Arabidopsis thaliana: one gene and its partners. The protein of the gene in region 4 interacts with the protein of the main gene of each other region in a pairwise test. Each region holds a gene or a part of one and is shown on either strand. Other genes may lie near its edges. The genes, in order: AT2G17972, AT5G61630, ELIP2 and PIP3.

Evidence for each region.
Region 1: the proteins of PIP3 (region 4) and AT2G17972 interact in a protein complementation assay, tested with the Arabidopsis thaliana proteins (one large-scale study listed by BioGRID).
Region 2: the proteins of PIP3 (region 4) and AT5G61630 interact in a protein complementation assay, tested with the Arabidopsis thaliana proteins (one large-scale study listed by BioGRID).
Region 3: the proteins of PIP3 (region 4) and ELIP2 interact in a protein complementation assay, tested with the Arabidopsis thaliana proteins (one large-scale study listed by BioGRID).

What each region holds. Positions count from the first base shown.
Region 1 is NC_003071.7:7,819,079-7,823,193, reverse strand, and holds AT2G17972 (uncharacterized protein), read right to left. Parts: upstream 1,610-4,115; 5' UTR 1,571-1,609; coding exon 1,094-1,570; 3' UTR 957-1,093; coding exon of another isoform or gene 899-956; 3' UTR 864-898; downstream 1-863. Other genes in the region: AT2G17975 (zinc finger (Ran-binding) family protein), read left to right, coding at 1-88, 174-204, 312-385, 480-607, 716-796, 899-956; AT2G17970 (2-oxoglutarate (2OG) and Fe(II)-dependent oxygenase superfamily protein), read left to right, coding at 1,918-2,068, 2,336-2,929, 3,017-3,102, 3,195-3,505, 3,611-3,682, 3,769-4,078.
Region 2 is NC_003076.8:24,772,079-24,776,484, forward strand, and holds AT5G61630 (uncharacterized protein), read right to left. Parts: upstream 2,501-4,406; 5' UTR 2,425-2,500; coding exon 2,181-2,424; intron 1,925-2,180; coding exon 1,725-1,924; 3' UTR 1,430-1,724; downstream 1-1,429. Other genes in the region: AT5G61620 (myb-like transcription factor family protein), read left to right, coding at 305-623, 697-908, 1,007-1,429; PMSR1 (peptidemethionine sulfoxide reductase 1), read left to right, coding at 2,948-3,385, 3,818-4,069.
Region 3 is NC_003075.7:8,416,000-8,420,203, reverse strand, and holds ELIP2 (Chlorophyll A-B binding family protein), read right to left. Parts: upstream 1,963-4,204; 5' UTR 1,832-1,962; coding exon 1,697-1,831; intron 1,603-1,696; coding exon 1,501-1,602; intron 1,420-1,500; coding exon 1,075-1,419; 3' UTR 879-1,074; downstream 1-878. Other genes in the region: AT4G14695 (Uncharacterized protein family (UPF0041)), read right to left, coding at 1-94, 317-371. UniProt on the Arabidopsis thaliana protein: Probably involved in the integration of pigments into the mature light-harvesting pigment-protein complexes.
Region 4 is NC_003075.7:16,706,407-16,711,453, reverse strand, and holds PIP3 (plasma membrane intrinsic protein 3), read right to left. Parts: upstream 3,094-5,047; 5' UTR 2,783-3,093; coding exon 2,497-2,782; intron 2,405-2,496; coding exon 2,109-2,404; intron 1,850-2,108; coding exon 1,709-1,849; intron 1,616-1,708; coding exon 1,496-1,615; 3' UTR 1,047-1,495; downstream 1-1,046. UniProt on the Arabidopsis thaliana protein: Water channel required to facilitate the transport of water across cell membrane. May be involved in the osmoregulation in plants under high osmotic stress such as under a high salt condition.

The DNA of each region.
Region 1 (4,115 bases), on a different chromosome or scaffold from region 4:
TACAAATCAAGCTTCGGTTCATAAAGAATGGAGGAGTGGTGACTGGATTTGCAGATGTGGTTTTCACAATTATTCCTCTCGTATACAGGTGAGGAAATGGGTTCACAATGCAAAACCGACTTGCAGATTCCGGCTTGTTGTTTTACTCATTTCTGTTTTGTATGTCTCTGCAGTGCAAAAAGTGCAATGAAATAGCTCCACTAGGTAAGGTTTTTGTCTAAGACCGATGCGCGTGCAATCTTATATAACCCGAAGGTGTCTGATAATCCTTTCACGAGTTTTAATATGGGAAAGTTTATTTTGGGTTGCAGCCCTTGGTACAAAGAGATTAGCATCAGAAGCTTTGGCTCATGAATGGGATAGCAAAAGACTGAATCAAGGATATGTAAGGATTAGTTAGAGCGCATAAATTGATTAGTACATTCATCAATTTTACTTGCTGCTTAACCAACCTCTGTTTCTTCTGGCTCGTTGTGCAGACAAGCATGCAAACACAGTCAGCGATATATGCATCTTTTCCTGGTATGAGCCTAGGAAGGGTCTCAAATTGGCAACTTCCTCTCCCGTTTCTACAACAACACTCAACACCTGCTTTACTTGGAATGGGGTACTGTATTGATCTCTGGTCTCCATTGTTTTCTTGTTTTCTAAACGCTAGAACAATGGCGTGATCTTTTGCAACCTTCCCAATTCTTTGTGTTGTCTGATTTCTTAGAGTGAAACAATGGCGTGATGGCGACTGGATGTGTACAAATTGCAAGAATCACAATTATGCATCACGAGCAGAGTGCAATAGGTGAGTTTTAATCTAGTTTTTTCAGTTAATAATTCTGATTCTTTGCATTGAGTTAAGGTAAACAAAAAGCCGAAGAAAAAAATATTTTCTTTTCCATGTCAGGTGCAAGACTACACGAGATATCCTTGATCAGGACATAACTCCAACAGAACAATCTTGAAAATTCATGAAGAGTGTTGTTCTCTTGTGTATCTTAATCTAGTGAGACATGGCTACACATTACTCGAAACTAACTTGAATATATAAGCCTCAAAATGTTTTGGAACAGAGAATGCAGACACAGCTACAAAGCATTTCTTAACCCTTTAAGATGTTCTTAGGATCAAGAGGCGGTGTATCGAGTTGATAAAGATTAAACGCCGGTCCAACAAACCGGAAAAAAATCCAACCTCCAATGACAATGTATATCGACGCGTAAGCCAATTTGTTTAGCCAAAACAACAAACCTTTCTCTCCAACATAAAGCTCCAATGCCTTCTCATTCAATGTCATCTCTTCCCATGGCTTTTGAACAGTCTCTTTTTTCTTCCCGCTTTGTCCTCCTCCTTCTCCTGAACCCTCTTCCCTCATTTTCCTTCTGGATCCTCTTTTGAATCTTATCTCCACTCCATCCAACGGCTGAGTAATCTTCTCTTCATCACCGCCACTGTTTACGCAGTTTATCGATAGAGTTCTTCTGTTGCTACGATGCAACTGGAACTTGGTTTTTGTATAAGATTGTTGCTTCAGATTGATAATCGTTGAATTGGGAGCTAAAAAGTGGAGACTTTTCATTTTTGTTGTTGTTTTTAAGATTTTGAAGCTATGATGAATGAAGGAAGAAACGATTTTGCAAAAAGATAAGCTTCTTCATCTTCCACCGTTAAAATCCTCTGACCCAATTATGTCTCGACAGGTGGCGTTTCGAAATTAATGGGCTTTTAAGAATTTTAAACGGCCCAAGAGCTTTAATTGGCTGCTTAAATACCGATATTACCCTTGTTTGGTTAATACTAGAATTTACAAGTGTACCGTCACAGAATCCACACTGACAAAAGAGTACTAGATTTCAAATCGTGGACTAGGAAATTTGAATTTTCTGTAACAAGAGTACTAGATTTGGATTGTATCGAGCGTATCTCATGGAAAACGATCCATTTCTCCGGCAGTACCAGCCGTCGGAGCTTAAGATCGCTTCGGAGTTTCTGACGAATTGGCTTCCTTTTTTATCTAAAGATCTATGCAAGGATTGTAATCACCTTCTCTCCAATCGAATCCGTTCTCTTGACCCAGGTAACGATTCTCAACTTTTTCTTAGAGGCGAGAGACTTTCTGGTTTCTATGGATATTGAAATTCTGTATAGAAAGCGGAGATTTTCTTCATTATTGTACTTGATTCTGCTTTTTTGATTGATGTTCTGCTAAATGATAAGGTTACAAAATTAGGGTTTGGTAATTGGAACAAATAGGAGGCGAGAGAGTAGCAAGTACGTTTCTAAATTTGTGAATTAAGTTATGATGTGGAGTTGCTTATGAGAAATCATGTTTCCATATGTGTAGCACATTGTAGTAACAACACTGACAAAGTTGATGGAGAGTGTAAAACTGGTTCTTGTTCAGTGGTGGAAAATATGGGATCAGAAAGAGCTAGTAACAATGTGGATGATAATTATGATGAGAAGTCGGAAAATGGCGAAGACTGTGATAATCATTCGTTAGGTAGTTGGAAGGGAAGTGAAATTGTATTTGGTTCCTTTCCTGAAGATTTTAGTAGTGTATTGCAATCTAGACCAGCTGTTGTTGAAACAGCAAGCCCTCGTATGCGTTGGGCTGATATGGCACAAGAGGATGAGTTCGATGAGGAGGAGGAGGAGGAGGAAGAGGAGAGGGATTCGAGTAGGAAAGGTTTTGATGCGAGTTCGATGAAGACTCCAGAGAAGCCTAAGTTGTCTAGAGATCAGAGAGAGAATCTCAGGCTGATTAATGTGAAGAGAAAGAAAGACTTTATTTGCTTGGAGAGAGTTAAGGGAAAGATTGTTAACGTGCTTGATGGACTTGAGTTGCACACTGGTGTTTTTAGCGCAGTGGAGCAGAAACGGATTGTTGATCAAGTGTATCAACTTCAAGAGAAGGGACGAAGAGGAGAACTTAAAAGTAACTTCTTGTTTTGATCTGAAAATGCTCTTATCTTAACTTGTGACCTATTTTTAATCTGAATCTTGTCTTGTTCTCTCTCTGTAGAGCGTACATTTACTGCTCCACATAAGTGGATGAGAGGAAAAGGACGTGAGACTATACAATTTGGCTGTTGCTACAACTACGCTCCAGTAAGTAACGTTCTCTGTCATACTTTCATTAATCTGTTTCATTCTTAAAAAAGGAGTTAAGAGTTTTGCCTTCTTGTATTTTGGGTTGATAGGACAGAGCTGGAAACCCACCGGGTATCCTTCAACGTGAAGAAGTGGATCCACTACCTCATCTTTTCAAAGTAATCATTAGAAAGTTGATTAAATGGCATGTACTGCCTCCAACTTGTGTGCCCGATAGCTGCATTGTGAACATCTATGATGAAGGTGACTGCATACCTCCTCACATCGACAACCACGACTTTCTCCGTCCCTTCTGTACCATCTCTTTCCTCAGTGAATGCGATATCCTCTTTGGCTCAAACCTGAAAGTTGAGGGTCCTGGTGACTTCTCGGGTTCATACTCAATACCGCTTCCTGTGGGGTAAGCAAGTTCGTAAGAATTCCCAGTTTCAAAACTTTCGGCCATTCCTTGTCGAATAGTATGAAATCAAAGACTGTTTTTTTTGGATATTTTCATATTTATCAGATCAGTTCTGGTGTTAAATGGAAATGGAGCTGATGTAGCTAAGCACTGTGTACCTGCAGTTCCTACAAAAAGGTTATAAATATTGTTGCATCAATTTTCTTCTATAAACAAACATTTTTTCTCTTATGAGTATGTTTCTTCCCGGTTCTATTCAACAGGATATCAATTACATTTAGGAAAATGGATGAGTCGAAACGCCCGGTTTGGTTCACCCCAGAGCCTGATTTGCAAGGGATTGAGCCATTGCCATTGGACCTGAACCGGTCTGGTTCTACTTCAAGGTTCTCAAGATTAAACAACCATAACGGTACTAACCAAAGAGGACATGGACGTAGAGGAGGAGGCAATGGTTATGACTCAAGAGGTTACTATAATCCTGAGAGAAGCAGTGAACACAATGACTCTGGAGACTGGCCATCAAGCCAGAGAAGAGGAATGCCACGTCCTAGTAGAAGAAACTACGGTTAAATTCTTCAACTTCTGAAACTGAAATTTATAAGTTCTT
Region 2 (4,406 bases), on a different chromosome or scaffold from region 4:
AAAATGTTAACCGTCGATTATGATCCTACGCTGATTCTGCTGGATTTTTCCTTATAATGACTTGGGTAAAAACTTCCAAATAAAACAAGATAATTAAGGAAACGCTTTATCTCTTAAGGAAAATAAAAAAATGTAAAAACACCAAGGACATTCACAAATAACAGCTCACGCATATCCGCATATATATATATATATATATATATATATATATCATTACACAAGAGAGTTTAAGGTATAAATACAATTAGCGAGATCTTGTGATTCTAATTCTTGTGATACCGAAAACATTGGTGGCGAGAGAGAGATGGTGAAGGAGACGGTGACGGTGGCGAAAACGTGCTCACACTGTGGCCATAATGGCCATAACGCACGGACTTGTCTCAACGGCGTTAATAAGGCAAGTGTTAAACTGTTCGGCGTTAATATATCGTCTGATCCGATTAGGCCGCCTGAGGTAACGGCGTTAAGGAAGAGTCTTAGTTTGGGAAACCTTGATGCTCTTCTCGCTAACGATGAAAGTAACGGTAGCGGTGATCCTATCGCCGCCGTTGATGATACCGGTTATCATTCCGATGGTCAGATTCATTCCAAGAAGGGTAAAACTGCTCATGAGAAGAAAAAGGGTACGTAATCTTCTAATCTCATCAATTTGATAATCTAAATTCAATGAAATTAATAAGAATAAATCAAATTCAGGGAAGCCATGGACGGAAGAAGAACATCGTAATTTCTTAATCGGTTTAAACAAACTCGGAAAAGGAGATTGGAGAGGCATTGCAAAGAGTTTCGTGTCGACAAGAACACCAACACAAGTCGCAAGTCATGCTCAGAAATATTTTATTAGGTTAAACGTTAACGACAAGAGAAAAAGACGTGCTAGTCTCTTTGACATCTCTCTCGAAGATCAGGTACTTATTTACCTTGTTTCTCAAGTAATCCATTGAGTCAATTGATTTGTCTAGGGCTATTTTTTAATTTAGGGTTTAATTGTTTTTTCATTAAACAGAAGGAGAAAGAGAGGAACTCTCAAGATGCTTCAACAAAGACTCCACCTAAACAACCAATAACCGGAATTCAACAACCGGTAGTACAAGGTCATACTCAAACCGAGATTTCGAACAGGTTTCAGAATTTATCAATGGAGTATATGCCAATCTACCAACCCATACCACCTTACTACAACTTTCCACCTATTATGTACCATCCAAATTATCCAATGTACTATGCCAACCCTCAAGTACCGGTTAGGTTTGTTCATCCTTCTGGTATACCTGTTCCAAGACATATACCGATTGGTTTGCCTCTGTCTCAACCGAGTGAAGCTTCTAATATGACAAATAAAGACGGTTTGGATCTTCATATCGGTTTGCCTCCACAAGCTACTGGAGCTTCTGACTTGACTGGTCATGGCGTTATTCATGTGAAATGAAATCTCATTTTTTGTGTGTTTATTTAAGCATGATATAGGTATATTGCTTCTTTTTTTTGGTGTTGAGTTTTATTTGAATATATAGCTCCATATTCAAAAGTTTTGCCAATCGGATTATGTATCATTTTTATTTCTTCCCAGATTAGATTAAATAAGAATATAGATATATTTGGATTTATATTTAGCTGCTTCTTTATCAACCAAAAACAAAACAAAAAAAATCTTAGTTTTGGTGAAGTTTATTGAGTAAAATCAACATTCATTGGGAGAAAATTAAAAAAATGGTGTTGATTAACTAGTAAAATCCTTTGATCAATTTCCTAGAAGCTCGTCTGGTTCTATCAGTGAGGTTTGGTTTGTCAGGATCTCCGAGTTCTAAGGTGGCACCCAAGAAACCGGTCTGAGTTCCATCGCTATCATTGTCGATGTCTCCTTCGATCGTCAATCCTTCAATCTTAGCCGCAATAGATTCTTCTCTCATCCCAACATCCACATCTTCAAAATTTGGATCGATGTTATAAGTGCCACAAAGAATAAAGTATCAACATGTAACAGTTACATAAAATATTTCCCAACTTCACAACCGCCAAATGCAGACATGATCTCTCTACCATTTGCAATCCAATTTGATCATGTTGGATTATTGCGGATGAGTTCGTGGTTAACAACATGCATGTTTTTTCTTTCACTTTAAAACCGGGCATGGTTTGATCAAACACAAGCATGTTTTTGGCTCACTAATTGTATATACCTGGATTTGAGAAGAGCCAAAGTACGAGAGCGCATGCAAGGAGAACAAATGGTATGATGTGAATGGCGTTTTCTGCGAATTTGGCACGTGACTTCTCCTTCTTAACCATCTCCTCTGGTGGATTATTGTAGGAAGGTAGTTCGTTCTCGTCGAGGGGACCGATCACCGAGCCCATCCACAATCCCTTAGGCGGTGCGGATGAGTAGTCTTCTGGCACTCGGTTCCAGCTCGCGGATCTATACATTTTGATAAGTATTTTTGGTTTTGATAGGTGTGTTCCAAAAACTCTATAGAAATTACGTTTTTAGGATGTTGATGGTTTTTGAGCTTAATCAGTTTCTTTGTTACATTTTAGTCACAGTTTTTTATTTCTTAGAAGAAAAAAGAATCCGGATTGAATTGCGAATTTAGAGCCTATGGTTTTGGTACATTTGGATCGAAATAAGGACTTTGTCAAATCGTTCAATCTAATCACTCATTTTTCCATTTGAGAGTGACAAAAACAACCATTTCTTTAGATTCTTTGTTTTCTTCTTCTATTTCTGTGACATTTTATAAACATATGATTTGATCATGCTTGAAACTAACTAATCTTAGTTTTAAGATTTTAAAGATTAAAAAAAAAAAAAAAAAAAAGATTTTAAAGATTGTCAATTTGAACTGCTTGAATGAAATGTCAACCAAAACTGGTTTCTAAAATTATTTTTATCGTTATTCAAAACGTAAACGCAAACGCGAATTTTATACCTGTCAGAATTTGGTACAAAATGTTCCGCAGAATCAGCCGACGTTTCCTCTTCACCACTTTCCTCTGTTTCTCTGTTTCGCTCTCTCTACAAAATTTCTCCATGAACATACTTAACAAGCTAGGTATAGGATCAAGTAGACAAACCAACATGGATCCTTCTCCAATCGCACAAGTAATCGACGACGAAGCTCCGGCGCCGGGAAACCAGTTTACTCAATTCGGCGCCGGTTGTTTCTGGAGCGTGGAATTAGCGTACCAGAGAGTTCCAGGAGTGACTCAAACAGAGGTTGGTTATTCTCAAGGGATCACTCACGATCCTTCTTACAAAGATGTTTGTTCAGGTACCACGAATCATGCCGAGATTGTTCGTGTTCAATATGATCCAAAAGAGTGTAGTTACCAGTCGCTGCTTGATTTGTTCTGGTCTAAGCATGATCCCACCACTTTGAATCGGCAGGTAACGAAAGTTTTGCTCTTTAGAATGTCTGATTTTGTGAGTTTTAAGTTTTGATTTTGGTGATTGAGGAAGATTTCTAGGGTTTCTAGGGCTTGCTTGAAATATTGAGCTCTAAATAGATTGAAATCTAGGGTTTGGATGATGTAATACTTTGGATTCATTTCATGTTCTGTTGGTACAAAATTTAGGTTTTATGTTTGAAACTGAACAGAGAGACTCATACATCTTCTCTTTGATAAGGATGTGAATTTGGCTATCGTTCTTGTCATCTTTGGTCACTGAACCATCCTTATGTGTATTTTGGTAGTTTCTTAGAGAGCACTTAACCAGCTCTTATGCAGAATCACTATTTATTTGGTAGTTTATCTGCTTGTCGTGCATTATGTTCGAATTTGTTTCTCTGTTTTAATGAGTACATCCTTATCTGATCAGGGAAATGATGTGGGAACCCAATACCGTTCAGGGATATATTTCTACAACCCGGAGCAAGAGAAACTAGCACGCGAGTCACTGGAGCGGCACCAGCAACAAGTTGACAGGAAGGTTGTGACAGAGATCTTACCGGCTAAGAAATTTTATAGAGCTGAGGAACATCACCAGCAATACTTGTCTAAAGGAGGGAGGTTTGGTCTTAAGCAATCAACGGAAAAAGGCTGCAACGACCCAATCCGCTGCTACGGGTAAAAGCCTTGCTTCTAACCGAAAGCAGAGGATGCTTCCACTTATCTATGATAGATTATAGCAATTATCGTTGAAAAATAAAGAAGCCGAGGCTACTTATGTAACTTGTTCTTGTTCATAAAACTTTTTAAGTGTTCAATCCTTTAGGTATATAGTATTGTTTGGATGTTCTCGATTGAATTTGTTCTTGTAAGATTCATCAAAACTAGTTTGAGTAAAACGTAAAATGATTTTTTAGTGTCTTTTACTCAGCATCAGTTTTAGTTAGTGTACTAGGCTCTAACTTAAAGGGTTAAATTGATCCAAACCAAAGTGAACTCTAATTTGGAAAATCAAATTA
Region 3 (4,204 bases), 8.3 Mb from region 4:
TGCTGAAGGTACGAAATATTTTCTGGAGGTTTCTGGAAATCTGCAATGTTAGCAATGCTTATACCCCACTTAAATGTTGGAGCCCAGAAATGAACTGATTAATACCCAACAACAACAACAACAAAAAAAGAGAGAAACTGTTTACAATTAGAATATATTATTCATTAGAGGATTTAAAGTGATATAGATTTTTTTTTGTCAAGAACTGTACTATAAACAATTCAACATTTTCCAATAGTAACGTTTCAATAGAGTCTTAATTGAAACGGAAGAAGAAAGAGTAATATATTATTGATGAAACAATGTGATAACTCACTTGTCTTTGGTCCTGCCGGGTGATTCCAGAGAGCTTGAAGCTTAGACGTCGCCATCAACTTTTGTTTTCCTCGGAGATTCTCTTTTCTCTGTCTTGTTTCAGTCTCCTACATAAATATTAACGAAATGATGCTACTCAAAACGACGTCGTATAAGCAATATGTAATTGAGCCACTCAAATCTTTCCGATTATATTCATCGATCGTACTATCGTGTAGTGTTGTAGTGGCCAGATCTTTCCTCTTTTAAGTGTTTTTTTGTTTGTTCATCTTAATATATTTTTTTTTGTTCTTGGGAAGCATTGACGCTTTGATTGGGCTTTGATGAGACTAACCCATGGGCTTGAGAATTGAGATGAGGTGATTTGTTAGAGAGAAATCGCATTCAATTTCGTTTCGTCTTGGAACTTGCTTTACTTTCATTATGGCAGACACATGATGACTCTATTGGTCGATAATAACAAGGAAGAGCATAATTAATTATTCTTGGCTCTTGATTCATTTCAAAAGAATGCATAAACTCTCAAACCTTGGATAGAAGCTAAAATTTATTTTTTACTTCTTCTTCTCCATTCACATTATCTTATAAGAAAACTTTTGAAGTACTTTTTCAAATAAATTTTTATAATGTTTTTTTCATGGTTTTAAATTTTGATTCATGTTGACACACTGTTTAAAACTCATAGTATTAAATCAATCTATGCGTTACATAATCATTCTCCAAATTTGTCCTTAAACTAGCAAACAAAAAGCTTTAGCTTTAGACTAGAGTCCCACCAGTGACGTACTCGGTGAAGGCCAACGCAACGAGACCGAGCATCGCAAACCGACCGTTCCATAGCTCGGCGTCTGAAGTCATGAACCCTTTTGACTTTGCCTCTGCCCTTATTCCCTTGAACAACGGAACCATCGATGCCAACGTCAACAACGCTGTTGTTCCTAGAAACCACCCGACACCACCGTCAGAGATCTGAGCAAACACGTTTTCTCCCTTTGATAACTCCATGGCGATGGCCGCCACGAATCCAACCATTGCTAGTCTCCCGTTGATCCTCTCGGGTGCTGGACCGCTAAACGCTAGCAAATCTCCAAACTTCGTACTCACCTAGACAATAAGAAAATTATTCATTAGCTTCATTTTTTTAGCTAGTGATATATATTAATGACTTTGATCATTAGATCATACCTTAGGCTTGCTAACTGGTGGAGGAGGAGACTGTGGCATTTGTGGTGGAGTGGCCGAAGTCGAGGTCGAGGGCACAGAAGGATCTTCCTTGATAGGATCGCCCTAAAAAAATAGTCAATGTAAGGAACGGTCAGGATTAAAAGTCAAATAAGTAACGTAGGGAAGTGGAAGGACTATGAGGTTAGTGTATATATACCTGAGCCATGCATCTGACTCCTACCGGAGCAATCCTCTTGAAGAAGAGTTGGTTTGTGTTTCTGATGTTGCGTGTAGTCAATACACCGGAAGGAGCAGCGAACACTGACTGCATGTTAAACGACGCCGTTGCCATTTCTGATTAGGTTTTCTAAAAGCCGAAGATCGATGAAGAAGAGAGAAATGAATAAATTATAAGACTTGAGAAGTGAGATGGAGTTGGTTTGAGGTGTAACTGTAGGATTATCTCTTCATTTATAGAGTTGGTGAAGGAAAATGATAGGCCCAGTATTTTCTGGATTTTATTTATCTTTACTGATTTATGGGATACTATGATTACTTATTTTATTTTTGTTTTTGTGTGGTGTGTAGTAGAGTAATAAATAAGTAGAAAGAAATCTATCAAAGAAAAGAAAAAAACTGAATTCAAACTTTTTATTCCTTTTTTTTCTTTTTTCCACTTTAAACTTTTTTTTTCTTTTGGGGAAGAAAAAGTTTCCTCAGAATAAATGTTTTCAAACTTATGAGATTTTTTCCATATTTATTGTAACACCTAACAAATCAGTTGGTCATTCGTTTCATTATTTGTAAAACTACCATATTAAAATTATACAAATAAATCGAATTATTTTGCTCGAAATCGTTAAAAATGTGAAAAAAAAAGAAGAATATATCGATATTTGGGTTGAACGCTAAACACAAAAACACGTAGCCAATAAAATTTGAGAAATGAGAGGAAAGTGAGGTTGAGATCGGTGAGAGGCCACGTCTAGTTGGAAAAGTGCAAGTAAACTGATGGCGTGGCCTCCTCATTACACATAGATACACATCTTCCTTGTCTTTTTCTGATTGGTCATGGCCAAGTGGGTTTGGCAAAAACACGTACAAATTTTTTTTTTGTCTCAAAATGTTAATAACAAGTTAGTGGCTCACAATATTCACTTGGGACTTGGGAGATTCGTTTTTGGTATAGAGAGAAGTCGCATTCAATCTTGTTTCGCGCGTATTGGAACTTTCTTAACTTTCATCATGGCAGACCCATGATGACTCTTTTGATCCTTTATGTGTCCCATTCATGTCTTCGTGCCCAATTCTCCTACGTGCGCTGTTTTTTTTTCCAGATTAGAACGGTAAATAATAGCACAATTGTGAAGATATGGGCATAGTCTTCGTGTCGGTATAGTCTCCTTTTCTATTGTCTTTTGTGTGTGAGTTAATTTCTAAATTTGTAACAAGGAGAAGAGAAACCTCTATTAGTGCTTGTAATACTTTTTGCTTGATAGTGAAAAGTTGTGGGAGACAGTTCCCACCCGAGACGTACCGGTTAGAGGCCAGGAGGCAGGAACTCGGTGATCAAACTCTTGTGTCAATTTCTAGCTTAAGCAATCTAACGTTCCACACATATAGAAAACTCAACAACAATTATTTAGATATGAATGATCAGATTTGATGTACCACCATCGATATGTGCTCTCTGCGAAAACTCTTTATATATACTGAAAGAAAACATACACCCACATTGGTAGTTTTTTTTAATGGATTTTACTAGCAGAGGATAATAAATTTATCGCATATATTACTTACATTTGTAGTTTCAAATACGAAAAAACTTGACCATTAGTAGTGTGAAGTGTGTAATTGATACTTTTGAGTTCAGGACGAAAAAATGTTCACGTCATTCGTGAGGAAATAAGGCATTTAGACTCAAAAGTCCAAACATGTGAGAAGGTCCTCGAAAGGGCGAACAATAAAAAGCCCCGAAGCCCATAACACGAGTGCCTTCTTATCCCCATGAGTCTTCGAGTGGACAAAGAGAGAGAACAACTTTGGGAAATTTATAGTAGTTTGTGAAGACTTCATATAAAAATTGTATTTATGAGATTATTGTGTTTTAAGAGGAGAGACGACGAGGGTCATCATTCATTTAATTACTTTTAACATTATAATTAAGTTCTGATTTATCCGGTCGTTTATGTAATTTATTGATTATATACTTAGGTTATTTAGCCGGCCACAAGGCCAAGCAAGCAAAACATAAGCTTGCGGCCGCTAATCATATTATTATTTAGTTTTGGCCGAATTTGCATAAAAATGTAGTCTAATGGTTAAAGTTTCAGTATTTGAGTTACAAGTTCCTTAGTTCAAACTTTGACAATGTGTTAAACTAATTTTTTTTTAAACGACAGAATCACTAAATAAATAAATATTATGTGGCCCATTTTGTTTCTCTTATTGTAACCCCGTGAAACCCGGGGACGACTAGGTAACAAATACTCTTTGGGTTTTCTTATAAATCAAATGCATATCTTTGATAAACTAAACCATGAAAGAAGGAGTTTTTTTAACTGATGAATTGATGATTATTGAAGTTGATATAAGTTAGATTCAAGTTTTGATGTACTGTATTTGGAACAGAAATGTTATAATATCTTACTAAAGCCCAGTTCGGAACAAGGCCTTACCCTTATTTAAAGCCCCAGTAGATCTGTTTTGAATTGTCGCTATGAGT
Region 4 (5,047 bases):
CTTTCAAAAAAATGGACAGACAACTAAGTTTCACACTCAGCTGCTGTCTGTTTCAAGTTTATGTTTTTAGCTATACAGCATCAGATCGGTTAAAGTAAATCGGTTTAGGGATAAGCAGAGGGGTGAACCGGCCGGTCACATAAGGTATTTTGCAACTTGCAAAATTGCTATTATCCAGAACCAATAAAGCAATAGCTATTATAAAACAAAATTTAAGGCCCAACTATATGATGGTTCATACTTCATAAGCTGCTAGGGTTTACAAAGTTCAAAATGAGTGGACCATATTGAAGCTAAGAAGAGATAACGAAGAATCGATCATAACGGCTAAGTATTTAAAATTAAAACTGAGACACTAGGCGTATTAACCAGTAAAAGCGTGAAGGCCATCGTTGTGGTCCTTCTCTCTCTCTCTGTCTCCTCTGCATTCACTTTTCTGAAAAGACGAGACGTGAATTATTACTACTATTCCATGTAGACAAATTCGTATTTGTATTCATACTATTTTAAAGCCAACTCTCACTGTCGCAATTTACATCCCATAGACAAATTTAGTGCTTATTGCTTCCATGAGCATTTTCTTTTTTTTTTCTCTCTTTAATCAAATGCATTATTCAATTAAGTTGGTAAAGTCTTTTATACAAATAATTTCCTAATACATCCAAACACATATGCGTTTGGGTGGGTCTAAAGACTCTTAGCCAAAAGGAGTCTACTATATAACAATAACAATAACAATACGGTAACTAGACGCAGAAAAGTTACCCATGTGATAAACACATGAGCTACGCGACACGCGGCCTAAGAAAAGTTAGAGTGCGGTGGAAAAAATGGGTTTAATGTCTCGTTTCTTGTCTGGTTGTTACAACTCTATTGGCTCCACTCCTTTTTATCCTTTCACAAAAACAACAAAAGGTACTCGCACGAGTTCTTTTTCTTTTAAAAACAATACTAATTCTAACAAGTAACATCGAAAAAAAAGACTAAAGCAAATGGAGCGAAAATAGTTGTTTTCTTGTCAACTAACGAAAATGTAACCACATAGCAAATGGAATCCAATATTTCCTTCTCAACACGTGTCAATTAATGAATGGTTTACATATGACCCGATGGTTTAGAGTCGACACGAGGATAATAACCAAAAGACCCACACACCATGTTCAGCCGAAATTTGTATCTTAATTGGACGCTAGCTGTAATAATGTACATTGAAGGATCTTGTGATGTTGTGAATAATAAATTCCAACTTGGATTGTTCGATATTTACGAACTGACATGAAGAGAAAACATGAATTTGTAACTACTAAGAGAAACCAAAGGCAAACGATTAACAAAGACAATCAAAAACTAAAGAAGGAAATAGAAGTCACTGAGCCATTTCATAATTAACATCAATCCACCATCTCTCTCATTACACACAAAAGAACAACAAATAATAATTAAAGCATATAAATCTTAAAGTTGTTTCTTGACATTATCTTAAAAAAAGCCTTCATTAATTGGTTGCGTTGCTTCGGAACGAGCCCAAGGCCTTAATTGCTGAAGCTCTCAATATGTATTGGTGGTAAGCTGCTGCAGCTAGTGCTCCCAAGAACGGACCAACCCAAAAGATCCACTGCAAAACCAAAACCAACACAGAACCAACATTAGGACATGAAGTCATGAATGATTAGTGAATACCTAATCCAGATAATAACTAAACACTTACTTGGTCATCCCACGCCTTCTCGTTGTTGTAGATAACAGCAGCACCAAAGCTTCTAGCTGGGTTGATACCAGTTCCAGTAATGGGGATAGTAGCCAAATGCACCATGAACACAGCAAATCCAATTGGAAGTGGAGCCAAAACCTAATCACAAGAAAACCCACCACACTTTATCAGAATCTACAAAGTAAAGATCCTTAGAGATTCATACATACTTTGTCATTACACCATAAAAAGATTCAAACTTCATCAGAATCTACAAAGACCCATTTTATATTCATACTAACTTTATCATTAAATCCTAAAAAGATTCAACCTTTATCATAATCTACAAAGACCCAATCAGATTCATAGTAACTTTGTCAAAAAACTCAATTAAAGATTCAAGCTTTTTGAGACTTACGGGGATGTGAGAGTCACGAGCGCTTCTCTTAGGGTCAGTTGCAGAGAAAACGGTGTAAACAAGGACGAAAGTTCCAATAATCTCAGCTCCGAGAGCAGTTCCTTTGCTGTAACCGTCAGCTACGGTGTTAGCTCCTCCACCAAGAGTGTTGTAAGGAGTTTTCATGAAAGCTTTCACGAAACCCACACCACAAATGGCTCCAAGACACTGAGCTATCATGTAACCAAGAGCTCGCACCAAAGAGACCTTACGGGCCAAGAACAGACCGAAAGTCACAGCTGGGTTAATGTGACCACCTACGAGAAGACGAGAACAAGAACGAGATTAACAATAAAACCAACGAACCAAACAAGTAAAAGTTAGGGTTTTTGGTGGGATTCAAACTTACCAGAGATACCGGCGGTGCAGTAGACGAGGACGAAGATCATACCACCGAAAGCCCAAGCGATACCAAGTAAACCAACGCCGTCACAAGGACCGGTTTGCTTCTTGTGGCCGATGACAGTAGCGACGGTGACGTAGAGGAAGAGGAGTGTAGCGATGAACTCAGCGATGAGAGCTCTGTAGAAAGACCAGGATTTGAGCTCACCCATGTCGAGAAGAGGAGCTGGTGGAGGATCCACGTAGTCTTTTCCATGGTGGGTTTTGCCTTCTTCGCTCACTTCTTTCGACATCTTTGTTCTTTTTACTCTCTAGCTAGCTATGGAGTTTGTGGTGCTGTGTGACGACGACAGTGTATCTCTTCTGCCATTTTAAAGGGGAAAAAGGAAACCCTTGTAATGCCAGGGATAAACCAAGGGTACTTTCGGTATTACGTACTATTTGTATAGTCTACATAATTCTGCTTATAATCATTATTAGTACGATTAAATAGTTAATAACCCTCTAAACTAACTTAGTACTAAAAATATAAACTACTAAATGTTCCTTGGAACTTTCCAGTTTTAGTTAAAATCACATACGATTAATATGCATTATTACTGACAAAATAATAGTCAAAATTATCACGAATGTTCCTGCAAAATAATAGTCAAATTTGTGTTTTAATGCATTTTTTTCTCTTGCTAACATCAATAGTTATATGCATTATTACTGGCCCAATCAAATTTTTGTTCTTGTACTGTATGATATAGTGTATAAAATAGCAATCAAAGTGGGGTATAATTTGCATGGCCAAATCTTTTGCAGTTCTGTAAAATGTGAATATTTTTCCTACTAATAAATATGGAACAATGGGATAAATACACAAATGTTTAAATAAATAAAAATAAGACATGTGTTTTTGTAGGTTTGTTGAATATTTTTTTGGGTAGTAATAATTTGAAAAAAAAAATGGGAGATAAAAGTAGAAGGTGGTGGGGTCCAGATGTACAGATAAGCCATGTGAGGGTTAATGATAGAAATGAGGTGTATGGTTTTCTCGTCAGCCTGTCATCCCAAACTCTCTTCAACGGTTATCTCAATATCTTTGTCTTTTTTTCCAAATCTTTTTTGGTAACATTTTTTCAAATTAGGTCAAATGTTTGTAACATATGATAATCTGCTAAAGGCAACTGTACATGAAAAAGATTAATAATCTACGAAGAAGGTATATTCGCGGCAATTTTTAAAAAGAGTTCATATACCAGCAAAAGATAAGAGTCTATTAATTATGGTTGGTGCCGTTTTTTTGACGAAACTTGTATAGACAAACATTCACCCCGCATATAAACTATATAGTAGTCTATGCTAATTTATACTCACATTAATGTGTTTGTCGTTGAAATTTGAAGACTATTTATGGATTATAATCAATTTTAAAATTTGGTTAAATGATGTATGGGAGTATATACTAATACTAGTGCATCTTATTCTTTTTGATCAAAAAATTTATCTACTCATTTGCTATTCCTTTTATTTTTTTCCTTTGAGAGAGCCATATTAATTTGAATGGTTATGTTTGTATATAGCAATACGGACGTGGCATATTAGAAAGTTGATACAAATGTACATTAAAACTTAATGGTCATTTTTTTCTAAAGTTTAATGGTCATTTAGATTGAGAATTGCATAAAGAAAAATCCATAGTGCAAGCTCACAAGGAAAAGAAAAACTAGCATAAATAGTGGACTGACGGATAATCCGAAGTGCTGGCAATTTAGGAATCCCGTAATGAGTGTTAATATCTAAAGCTTAGTTTACTCTTTTCCTTTCACATTTTTTATACGTTAATACGACGTTTGTCCTTATCCTCGTAGCCCTAATCAAAATTATTTATTTTGTTAATATCCCTAGCCAATTATTACTTAATTTACTTTATCACTTTGTGTAATACTTAAATTTTACGCAAATGTGATTTAGATATATGAAATGGAAGTAACTTTACTTCCTAAGTCGACCCACGATAATATCATTAATTCAAGTAAAGTACGACAAAGAAATATTTGATTTGATATTATGCTGCCTTTGGTAATGGAAATGCCAGGTCGATGAGCAATCATAGAAAATGATGATTGCCTTCCTCTTTGTCCATGAAGAAGACTATACGATTTCGTATAACAAAATTATATCTGCTAAGTTGTGGTAAATTTATTAAATATACAGTTCAGGCAACATTACGCAGTGCAAACATTAAAACCACCAATACACATTTTCATTTCAATTGAGTTTGAAACTAATAAATAGGGAGCCTGCGGTTTCCAAATAGTGAGATATCGACCCTAGTAGTAATCAATAAGATTTCAAGTTTTATGATTTGGAAACGAAAACAATAATGTCTGGATAGTAGTACTGGACCATCAAATATATTACGTAAATAAAGTCTCTTCGTGGTGCAGAAGAGGTTGGATAATAATAATATTTGGCTAAACTTCATCCGAATCATTGCATGTGAGAATGGATCACCATCTTATCTTTGCTGCTACTATACCTATCGTTAATTATGATTTATTTTCCCGGAA